Linked DNA regions of Elephas maximus indicus. The protein of the gene in region 1 binds, or shares a complex with, the protein of each later gene. Links are inferred from orthologs where the notes say so. Each region holds a gene or a part of one and is shown on either strand. Other genes may lie near its edges.

Region 1 (3,748 bases):
GAAGCCTTGAAGTACTATGAATTTGCAATTCAGCTGCTTCTTACATGGGCAACCAAAGTGTTGGTTCAGGGTAAGTAAAACCTACCTACTGCCATCGAGTCGATTCCGACTCATAGCGACCCTGTAAGACAGAGTAGAACTGCCCCACAAAGTATCCAAGGAGCACCTGGCGGATGTGAACTGCCCCAGGGTAAGTAGCAGCAGGGATTCAACTGTAGTTAACTGATTTTCCCACGTCATGTAGGTGTAGCTCAATTATGTGAAACTGTGCATGTGATGTGTATATTTGCAGAAAAATAAGTCTAGCGAGAATACACACCAAAATGTTAACATTCATTCATCCAACACGTGTTACCTATTTCACGCCAGACCCTGGGCTACAAAGAGTCAGAACTAGGGCTGACGGTCTAGCTTGAGACAAACGGGTAAAACCAAGAAGTTATGTTTATTAATTCTGTGTTTTCCACAATGCGAATAAACGCCTTCTTGGCAACAACCAAAAAGGTTTTAGTTTGGAAAGAAAATACCTCTCCTGGTAAAAGGTCAGCCACCGTTCTGAGGGCAGGCTCGAGGCGAAGGGACTATGAGTCCACCCGACCCCCAACTCTGGAAGCCCCTCTGTTCAACTCCCAGGATTCCATACAAGGGAGTATCTTGTATCTCACGGTGCGACCGGCCACAAGACACGCGGCCCGAGACACCCGGAAGTCCAGGCTCCGCGGTCTACTCAAGCTGAGCGTTTCTCATAACACCCGGAAGATAGACAACTGACCAGGAGGAACCACAACCACCTTGGGGGTATCCGCCGGCTCACGGCGATTTGGCTTCACAGACGTAGGAACCACTCCCACTGACCCGTAGCGCCGGAAACGGAAAGTGCTGAGCGGGCTGGCGATTGGGCGCAGAGCCGGAAGTGGAAGCACGGTGCCGGAATTGGTGTTTGGTGGCGCCTGGTATGGGTGAAGCTGCGGCTATTGCGTCCGAATCCCTCGCGGGCAGTAAGGCCCGGGCGGCGCGCACAGTGTTAGGTCAGGTGGTGCTCCCGGGTGAGGAGCTGCTGCTGCCGGAGCAGGAGGACGCAGAAGGCCCTGGCGGTGCTGGGGAACGACTGCTGCGCCTCAACCCCGGGGCGCGTTCGCGGGTGCGCGTAGTGTGCGGCCCGGGCTTGCGGCGCTCTGGGGACCGTCTGCTGGTCACCAAGTGCGGCCGCCTACGTCACAAGGAGCCCGGCGGCGGCGGCGGCGGCGTTTACTGGGTGGACTCACAGCAGAAGCGGGTGAGCTGGGGCTCCGGAGTGATATCCCTATCCAGCGAGAGTGGTATCCCTATCCTGGGGAACTTCCTGGAAGAGAAAAAGGAGGGGACCCTGAAACACCGTCTGTCATTTTGAGATTGTGCCCACCTTCCCATCTCCTTTGAGGGACCGTGAGCAACAGGAACGTGGCCAAAGAAGGGCGATCAGGGGAGAAAGGCGTGTGGAAACCTTAGCATATAAGGGAGATAAGGACTGTGACATATGGCCATTGTCTTCAAAACCCCAAAGGTCAGGGAGCGACACACTTGTTCTTTGAGGCCCCAGAGGACAGAATCAGGCTTGATGAGTGGATATCATCAGGAGTTAAATTTCTCTCAGAATAAGTGAGAACTTTCTCGTAGGCAGAATTGTCGAACAATGGATTGGGCTTCTTTGGTAGTAAGGAACCCTGTGCCACTGGATGTAAGTGCAAGCAGAAGCCGGAGACTTTCTGGTAAGGGTGCTGAAGATGGTATTCAGGTATGGCATACTGGCACCAATTAACAGACTTTTAGAAGCTGCAAGCTTGAGAGAATATGATGTGACTGGTTTTCATTTACTGAAAGTGGTATGTGATAAAGTTTGTTGTAAAGTTTCTATAAATAACTTGAATTGCAAAATATTTTCTAAACATTTTAATGATAATCATAACAAAGTAAACACTAAGGACTTGCTGGAAAAAATTTAATTTGTGGCTGTTCTTTCATGTTTTCTTTTGTAGTATGTCCCAGTGAAAGGAGACCATGTGATTGGCATAGTGACAGCTAAATCTGGAGATATATTCAAAGTTGACGTTGGAGGGAGTGAGCCAGCTTCTTTATCTTACTTGGCATTTGAAGGTGCAACTAAAAGAAACAGACCAAACGTGCAGGTAATGATGGGGGCCTTTGGTTTCAAAAGTATAAAAAAAATAAACCCATTATCTAGAATACAAAAATATCCAGAAGGCTACTGAACTGTTGCCAAAGCGTGACCACTTTTCCTAGTTTTATAGGATGATCTCTCAGGCTTCCAAGAGTTCCTTCAGGTGCTTCAGCTCTTGAACTAGACTACATATGTGTTTTATGTTTGCAACATTTGTTCTTGGAATGTTACATCTCTACTGCATTGAAAGGTTTTATCTGTTATCTCCAGTATCACGGGCATTGACCAAGGTAGTCAGCAATAGGCTCAGAGAGGGAGAATGGACAAGTGGCACAAATTGCCGTATCAGCCATCCATCCATCCTGGTTGTAGGCCCTGGGACAGGCATCTCACGGTGTAGCCATACTGCCCTCTGTCCATCCAAACCAGAAGTTGAGTGGTTTCTTTGCCCCTTCTAACTCCTCGCATGTTCTCAGTTGCTTTATTGTTTCTCTGATCTTCATGTCTACCCCCTTTATCTCAACTTTGCGAGTTCAGGCCTTGCTACCCTTAACTGGCCTTGGTCAGTGACCTCATTAACATCCCTGCCTCCACACTCTCATCCTTCCATCTAGGCTTTTCAGAGCTGACATCCTTACATACTCCCTTTCTCAAAACATGAATGTTCTTCAAAGCCTAAAGAATTCCTTGGCATGACACCCCAGGGGTCTTGCCTCATCCATAATTATATCTTGCATACAGCCATGCTTGAGCCACACCAGAGTATTTGATAGCACCACTAAACCCATAATTTCCTGCCCTTGTACCTTTGCTGATGCTGTGCCCTCTGTCCCTTGTACCTCCGCTCAGGCTTTATCTGTGGGACATGCTCATTCTTCAAAACCCAGCCAAACACCAGATACCTCTGTAAAGCCATCTCCAATCTTGAATCACTTTAACTTTGTTCTAGCACTTACTGGATTCCGGTTTGAATGAAGTTTTTGTTCATATGTACATCCTAACTGCCCCCAAAGACCAAATGTTTCTGAAGGGTAGCAAATGTTTTGTTCATCTGTAGTTCTCAGAGTCAGTGTTTTGTTGAGCAAACAGAACAAGTTCACTGTCTTTCCTCAGTATTATCATTTTGAAGTTCCACTGCATGAGATTTTTAAGTAAACCTTACATGGAGAAATATCAGTGGCTTATCGTTGCTCCAGCTATTTTGCTTGAGCATGCCAGGAATTCCTTCCTCTAGCCATAAACCTTCTGGAATCCTAATAGAACTTTCTGTGATGATGCTAATGTTCTGTACCTTCACTGACAGCCACTGGCCACATGTAGTTATCAAGGACTGAAATGTGGCTAATGCAACTGAGGAACTGAATTATATTTTAATTAACTAAATTTATTAAATTTAAATGTAAGTCTAAATAGGCACATGTAGCTAGCGGCTAACATAAGGAACAGTGGAATCCCAGAGTATGTTGTCTGGCCTTGGCATTGCTCCCGTTTGGGGATTTCCTGGTGTTTTAAAGGGTGAAGGTACATGTGTTAATACTGTCTTCTTTTAAGACTCAATTCCAAAGTGACTGGATCCTCAAGTATAGTCAG
Region 2 (3,748 bases), on another chromosome or scaffold:
TTAAGTGCTTAAGAATGCGGGCAGACACTTCCTCTCCGTACCCTTCTCTGACTCACCTCCTGGTTCTCAGTCCCACTGCACCCATTGGTGCTACCATCATAGCTCTAACCACAACGTTCTGTGGTTCCCTCGACCCTCCAGCCTCCCCCTCTGCACAGGGAGCTTCTCTGGGCAGAAGTTGCATTTTACTTGTCTTAGTGTTCCAAAGCTAGAACAAAGCCCATCTGTAGTAGGCTCCCAATAGTTATCTGTGAAATTGTACCGAAGCCAATATCTGAGAAAATCAACCATTCTTTGGATAATCAAGCTGTTAAGGTTTACTTTGGTTTCTGACAACAGAGAAGGAGGTTCCTCAAAAACGGGACACGAGGAAGTCATCAGACCCATTCCTTGTTTCAACCACTTTGAATCAACTTTCCTCCATTTATCCGCATGGCCCCTTTAAAACTTGTACCGTACCGAGTCTGCCCCGCCTTAATGGGCTCCTGTGGTGACCCCAGCTTCACCTTGCAGGTATCCTGTCTGGATATCCAAGGCCCAGAATTCGACTCGGCCACCGCGCGGGGCTGGCTTTTTTACCGGCAGCTGCCATAGCTCCCACGATCACCCCCATCAAGCCGGGACTTCCAGTCCCCTATGGGAAGCGCTGGGGGCGCCCCGGCACTGCGCCCGCGCCAGCGCCGGTTGCCAAGATCCTCCTTACTTTTTTCGGGACAATGCTCCGGCGATCATCCGGGGAAGTGGGCCCTGCAAGGTCCTGGCCCCCCGACCCGTTCGATTCGTCCTCGGAGAGAGGAGGGGGGAGTTTGAGGGACCGGGGGAAGGCGGCGACGATGCCTCGAGATTAGTGACCCCACTCCCCGCCCGGACCCTTCCCACGGAGACCGAGCCGAAGAGAGCTTCATTGCTTCTACTTTTCAACCATTCTAGGAACCAGGGAAAGGGAGGGGCGGGAAGAGTGGGGAGATAGCCCCCCGGGCCAATCACGACGTCCGGCTCCTTTCGGGGTCTGTCAGTTTCCTCTCTCTTACACACACATGACCTGCTACTTCAACTCCAGCTGTGAGCAAACTGCGCCTCGTGCCTCTCCTACTACGAGTCCCCCAGCCCTGGCCCGCGCGCCTATCCTAACCCCAGTTTCTTCACCCCAACCCGAGTTCCCCCTTCTAACTGACCGTGAAGCCGGTGGCAGTTCCCCAGTCCCAGGCCGCCGGGGAGACTCTTGCCGCCGCCGCCGTGGCCACAATTTGCACTCCCCGACACGGGTCCCGGCCTTGGGCTGCGGCGATGGCTCCCCGGCTCCCTGGACTCGGCCAGACACCCGGCGGCGCGCAGGAGAAGCCCATCGAGCTCCCGGCGGCGGCGGCAGCAGCGGCTGCAGGAGCGGCCGCCGCGCTGGCTGATGACGTTCGGGTGCAGGGGGCGCGGCCGCCTGGGGGAGGGGGCGCGGGCGGATGACGTACGGCGAGCAGGGCGACTCTGCAGCATGGCGTCCGTGGCGCTGAGCGAGGCGGAGAAGGTGTACATCGTGCATGGCGTCCAGGTAGTTGCAGCAGCAGGTCGGCCGTAGAGTTACGCTGGCCCTGCGAGCTGCGGCTGGCCCTCGGTTTCCCGGCTGGGGAGGCCCCAGGTTGCCGCGAGTCTGGATTTACCTTGTGATTAAATGGCTCGGATTCTGCATCCCGAAGCCGGCAACGCGGCCGTTTTTAGGACTGGGTGGCGAGCATCCATTTAGGTCTCTTCTCGTACTTGCAGCTTTTCGGGCCTACAAGGTTCTGAACCTGGGTAGGAAGGGGTGGGCGCTCCCAGAGGCCTTTCTTGAGGTCTTTCCTGGGGGAAATACCGCCCCCGGACCATCTCTTCACCCTTTGCGTGACGCTTCGCTTGGCCTAGTCTCAGTTTTTTCTTCTAGGAAATGGGGGGAGGTGTGTTTCTGGCTCTCTTTTTCTCAGCTGGCGGTTTGGTGGCTCAGAGAGAGCACACACCCGCTTTGAAGATATATATTGCCTTACAGATGAAGGAGGGATGTTATGATTTAAAAGGCGGCTTTGCAGCCAGTAGCGTAATTCTTTCTGTTTCCCATTTTGCCATTGGAGAACTAAGATCCCTAAAAACAGCTAGAACCCATTGTCTTTGCTCAGACTTCAACCCCTAGTTTGGACCACTCCAGAAGTAGAGCTGGAGGATGTTGGGCCTGCTAGGAGCTACCCAGCTTCCTTCTCTGGCTCTTGTTATCCTTCCTTCACTCTTGTTATGCCACTGCGCGGCTCTCCCATCCCAGTTCTCCAGCCCACCTATGGCAGAGTTCTGAGGGCAGCTACTGCACCCTCCCTCATGCCCTTTCTCAGCCAAGGCAAACTGCAGTCAGTGGTCCCGTGATGTAGGTAATAGATTAGGCAGCCAGCTATCATTAAAACTCCACAACTGAGTTAAGGCCGTGTCCTTTTTAAAATTGTGGCCTGCTTTTTTTTTTTTATTGTGTGTGCCTGTTACAGAGGAAGTAAACATCAATATTTAGCTGACAGTTTGCTTGTTTGTTGTGTAACAACTCAGCGACACCTGAACCCAAGGTGGGCCACATCTCCAAGAGACTGAAGAAAGACTCCAGAACCAGTCATCGTGACATATGGTTTATTGGGACACTTACTTACAGGACCGTGGCCCAGGGCGGCAGCTGGACTAGTTTAGTGCTCCACAATCACCTAGCATAGGACACGAGCTTATATACCATTCCAGCTGGGTCCAAGGCTCATGGTTTTTCTCCCACGTCCTTGGGCAGTTACCGTTCCCAGGGACTTCACGTCCAGGCCCAGATGTTTTTCTTCTTGTTGCTAAGGCTTTCCTCAGCCTTGGTCACTGGCCTAGTCACACCACTCCTGTCCTTGTACCTCAGCCCAAGTCCATCCTGAATTCATCCCCATCATGCTTTGGGGGAGAGCAAAGCTGACTCCATTAGGACGGTATGCATATAGCTGAATAGGATTACCCTACAATATTAAACCTGAATAATAGAGTCAGAACGTAAAGGTTCATGAACTTTTTAAGATCTACTTCAGGGTCAGCAATAAGGAAATATATGTGTGTGTGTGTGTTACTGAGTGGCGTATGTATGTTATTTGTGTTTGGGAGGTATAAAACCGTTCACAAAGCAATTAGATTTGTCCTTCCCTGTCTTATTTTTGTGCCAACTTCGTTCAGATGATTTTCCTCCTCAAAGGAATGCTTAGGGGAGGCATTAAGGATTATGTTTTATTTCTAAATCTAAAAGCCTTTAGGTTTTTTCCTTTGCTACCACAGCCAGGAAATATTGGTTACACTTTACAGCCAATTCTCTCTCACATTCCATCTCTGACAGTGGCACCAAGGGACATAGGATAGGAAAATAAGTGAGTCCTCCTTGTCTGTAACCTCCCTAGGTTAGAGATGTCTTACAAACATCCTTAGTTCCCATGGCAACTCACTGTCCAACTGCCTATCAGAGACCCACTGAGGCTATAAGCTTTTCTTCCTTATTACTTTAAAATCAGTCAGCACGTCATTTATATTTATTACACACCTGTTATATGTTGGGTGCTGTGGGGAGGGAAAAAAAAAGCTACAGTCTGGCCCCTGAGATACTTAGGATATAGTTCGGGCAACGTTAGTTGGTTTTATTCACCATTTTATACCCAGCCCCCATTGTATTATGTGGGAAACAGTAGGAGTGCCAAAACATACTTGTGAAATAAATAAATGAACAATAGGGGAG
Region 3 (3,748 bases), on another chromosome or scaffold:
CAGCCCCCACATCTGGCAGTAACTGAGATTCTGTCTCTCTCCTCACAGATACCACAGGAAGCTACAGAGAGAATAAAAAATGGGAATCCTGGCTAAGCTCTAAGTAAAGTTATTTGTGGCTTGGGAATACTAAAGGAATCCCTCGGTCCCAGTTAAGGTCACCAGGGCAGGTCTACCATGGATTGATTTATAACCCATTTATAGGAAATGGGAGGACCAAGATGGGAGAACCAAGGGGTCATGGGAAGAATGCTGCCAGAAAACATCCTGTAACAATTTCGAATTAGTTCTAATAAGTTTTTTTGGTGATTCTCTTAGATCGTCTAGGTAAACAACCATATTGCCTATGATCACTGATGATTTGGCTCCTCCAAAATTTTATTACTTCTTTCTGTTTACTTTTTTGCACAGGCTAGAATTTCCAAATCAATGTTATTTAATAGTGGCCATACTTGCTCTCTTTTAAGGGAATAATTCCAGAGTTTTCTCTTTGAGCATGGTATTGGCACTTGCTCCCTCATTTTTTAACAATCTCCCCCTTGCTCACTATGCTTCAGCTTTCCTGGCCTTCTTTCACTTTCTTCAACTCACTAAATTTCCTTTCACTCAGGAGCTCTGTTCTGTCAGTACTATCCTCTCCCATCTACCCAACTCCCACTTACCCTTTAGGTTCAGCTTAAATGTTACTTCTGTTGACTAAGCTGGGTTTGTCTGCTATAGGTCCTCATGGTACTCTGTAATATTCTTTGAAAGCACTCACACGCTTGCAGCCATATACTCATTTGGGCATTTGTTTACAATTCATGTTTCTGCCCCTTTGATGGCAGAGATTACCTGTATTTGGTTTATTACTAGACCCTCAGAGGTTAGCACTGGGCCTGGCATGTGAAAATGCTCAACAGACCTCTGTGAACAAACTAAGGAATGTTAAGGATATTTTCACAACTGGTTGAATAAAAAGCTCCTCATTTCACAGATGAGGAAGAATCTAATGCCAGAGAGTTTAAATCTTTTAACTGAGGCAGAATCAAGGTCTACTGAGTCAGTACCTACATGTTATAATTCTGAATCCTTTTTCTACTATGCTACTTGTCTTAAGCTGCTCCTTCAAAGATTGCTCAGCTGATCCTGAGCTAATCCTGGATCAGCCTCTGGAACTAGGGAGGATGTTGTTGTTAGGTGCCATCAGGTTGGTTCCAATTCACAGCAACCCTATGTACAACAGAAGGAAACACTGCCCAGTCCTGCGCCATCAAATTTCATTCAAGGTCCTCCTCTTTTTCACTGACCCTCTATTTTACCAAGCATGATATCCTTCTTCAGGGACTGATCCTGCCTGATAACATGTCCAAAGCACGTGAGACAAAGTATCGCCATCCGTGCTTCCAAGGAGTATTCTGGTTGTACTTCGTCCAAGACAGACTTGTTCATTTTTCTTGCAGTCCACGGTATATTCAATATTCTTCATCAACACCATAATTTGAAGGCGTCAATTCTTCTTTGGTCTTCCTTATTCACTGTGCAGCTTTCACATGCATTTGAGGCGAATGAAAACACCACGCCTTGGGTCAGTGTGGATAGTACTACTTATTCATTCAACAAACATTTATTGAACATCTACCTTGTGCTAGGTGCTGAGGGAATGATGGTGAGGCCTGCTTTCCTGGAACTTAAGAGTCTAGTAGGCAATATATAGATGACTGTTTAATTATAAGCTGAAATGAGTGCTTGGAAGGAAAGGAATACAGCTGAGAGTGTTTAACAAAACAAATAAACGACAAACGAGAAGACACAAAACGCTCTTCCCCAACTAGTGGGTTCAGGAGGGCTTCTTTGAGATTATACTTGAGAGACTACTAGGATAGGTATGTAGAGTAGGAGAAGAAAAACTAGGCTGAGGGGAATAGGTAGGAAGGAGGATAGGTGTTAACTAGGCTAAGAGGGAGTGGAGCATGTTCCAGACTGATGGCACATGTATAAAGGCTCTGTGGCAGGAGAGAGCTTAACGCTTTAGCGACGCTGGAAGAAGCCAATATGACGAGATCGCAAAGAACGAGGGTGGAGAGAGTGAAGAAGGTTGAAGCCAGGCGACACTCAGCATTCAGCTCACGCCTGGGCTGGGTTACTGTCAGCTCACCTCTCCTCCCCCCAACCTCCCACCCCGAGTGTTAGCAGCACAACAAAGCCAGATCACCACAGCTGGTCGAGGGTGGCCAGGCGCACAGCAACGAAGATTACAGCTGGAAAAAATTCAGAGACCTAGTTTTTCTATTGGTGAGGCACTGAAAACGCGTTCTCAGCGCCCCTGCCTAAGAACCGCGAAATCAAAGGAAGCCTAAGAGAAAGAGACCGAGGGGACGGAAGGCCGTCGCCTTTACCGCGCCGTTCTCGCTGCTCTTCGTCAGGCAGCCGGCAAGCGACGAGAAGATGTAGCCGTGCCGGGTGTAGGTGCCGCTGCCCGGGCTGCCCTCCTCCAAGTTACACAGACGTTCGCCTGCAGAAGAAGCGCCGCGTCAGCCACAGACCCCCAGGAGCTGTTGGCCGTCCAGCCTCCGGCCTCTGTCCCAATCCAAAACTCGGCAGACAGCTCACTTACCCGGGACGCAGTACCTCACGGGGGGCGCCATGACAGCCACTGTCCCAGAGCCCGGATGAAAACGAGGCCGACTTCTTATTGGCCAAATCCAGGCACAGCTCGTCAGTAACAAACGCGCCAATTGGTGTGTGTTATCACGTGATCTACGGGAGTCCCACCCCCTCCTCGAGGGACAAACTTCATATCCCAGGTTGTCCCGAGACAGGTCCCGGGGCGGAGCTCCAGGGCTCCTGCTGTTGCGCTTGCGCCTGTCTGTGGTCGAGGATGGGCTGGCTGTGGGTCCGGGTCCCCCCGCTGGTGTTGCGGCCGGCGGGCCACGCTGGGTCGGATTGAGTCTGGGCGCCGAGCTGGAGGGGCTGGCAGTGAAGGGCGGCGGAGCCTGCGGGGCTGGATTTAGCTAATCGGAGAGCCGGCAGGTAAGAGCAAAGCCGCGGCTCTTGCTCGCCATCCTGGTCCCTTTTTCTGAGGTGGGGCCCTTTCCTGGAGCCCTGTGGAGTCCCCGGGTTCCTGCTCTCTTTGCTCCGCCCTGCAGGGCCGTGCCCTTCGCTGGCTCGGCCAAGCGCACCCTCCGGGCAGCGGTAACGAGCGGAGCAGGAAGGCCAAGCAACCCAACTCGCTCATTTCATGGATTTGGAAATTCAGATCCAGAGACAGGATTTTACTTGTTCAAAGTCTCGGAGATAGTTCAAGGTAGAGTCCACACAGGAGTTTTTTTTTTTTTTTTTTTTTTAACTTTCAGCCCATCGCACTTTGACCACGCCGTCCTCCTTGAGAAATAAAACCTCTTCCCGATTTCTCTAACTGCAGCTTCGGATTCTGCAGTCGGATTCTCTCAAGCGGAGCTCTGGTCGTGTGGGCCCATCCTTAGCTTCTGATATTGCCACTCTGTTTTCTTCCCAGCACGTTAGTCCGGAAGCGAAGTCATGCAAATGAATAAAATGCTGCCCTTTACTGATGCCCGCCCGAGTTCTGCTGCTTGAGATTGCAGATATCCTGAGAGCAGCATCTTTGTTCAGATGAGATTTGCCACGACTTTTAATCTGTTTCCTCTGCCTGCTGGTGGCTTTGGAATCTATCCCTCTCTGTCTACTCCCCACCCCCATTTCCAGCTTCCCTATGAGGCAGATGGTGATTTAGTGCCTTGGGAAGAAG

The links.
Region 2: EXOSC3 (region 1) and EXOSC7 share a complex: the UniProt entries of both Homo sapiens proteins name them as parts of the RNA exosome core complex. The link is inferred for Elephas maximus indicus from reciprocal best matches to the Homo sapiens genes EXOSC3 and EXOSC7.
Region 3: EXOSC3 (region 1) and EXOSC1 share a complex: the UniProt entries of both Homo sapiens proteins name them as parts of the RNA exosome core complex. The link is inferred for Elephas maximus indicus from reciprocal best matches to the Homo sapiens genes EXOSC3 and EXOSC1.

Annotation. Positions count from the first base shown.
Region 1 is NC_064827.1:46,654,305-46,658,052, reverse strand, and holds the start of EXOSC3 (exosome complex component RRP40), read left to right. Parts: upstream 1-891; 5' UTR 892-955; coding exon 956-1,276; intron 1,277-2,015; coding exon 2,016-2,165; intron 2,166-3,748. UniProt on the Homo sapiens protein: Non-catalytic component of the RNA exosome complex which has 3'->5' exoribonuclease activity and participates in a multitude of cellular RNA processing and degradation events.
Region 2 is NC_064838.1:49,288,462-49,292,209, forward strand, and holds the start of EXOSC7 (exosome complex component RRP42), read left to right. Parts: upstream 1-1,464; 5' UTR 1,465-1,486; coding exon 1,487-1,543; intron 1,544-3,748. UniProt on the Homo sapiens protein: Non-catalytic component of the RNA exosome complex which has 3'->5' exoribonuclease activity and participates in a multitude of cellular RNA processing and degradation events.
Region 3 is NC_064834.1:49,202,383-49,206,130, forward strand, and holds the start of EXOSC1 (exosome complex component CSL4), read right to left. Parts: upstream 2,682-3,748; 5' UTR 2,628-2,681; coding exon 2,597-2,627; intron 2,495-2,596; coding exon 2,379-2,494; intron 62-2,378; coding exon 1-61. UniProt on the Homo sapiens protein: Non-catalytic component of the RNA exosome complex which has 3'->5' exoribonuclease activity and participates in a multitude of cellular RNA processing and degradation events.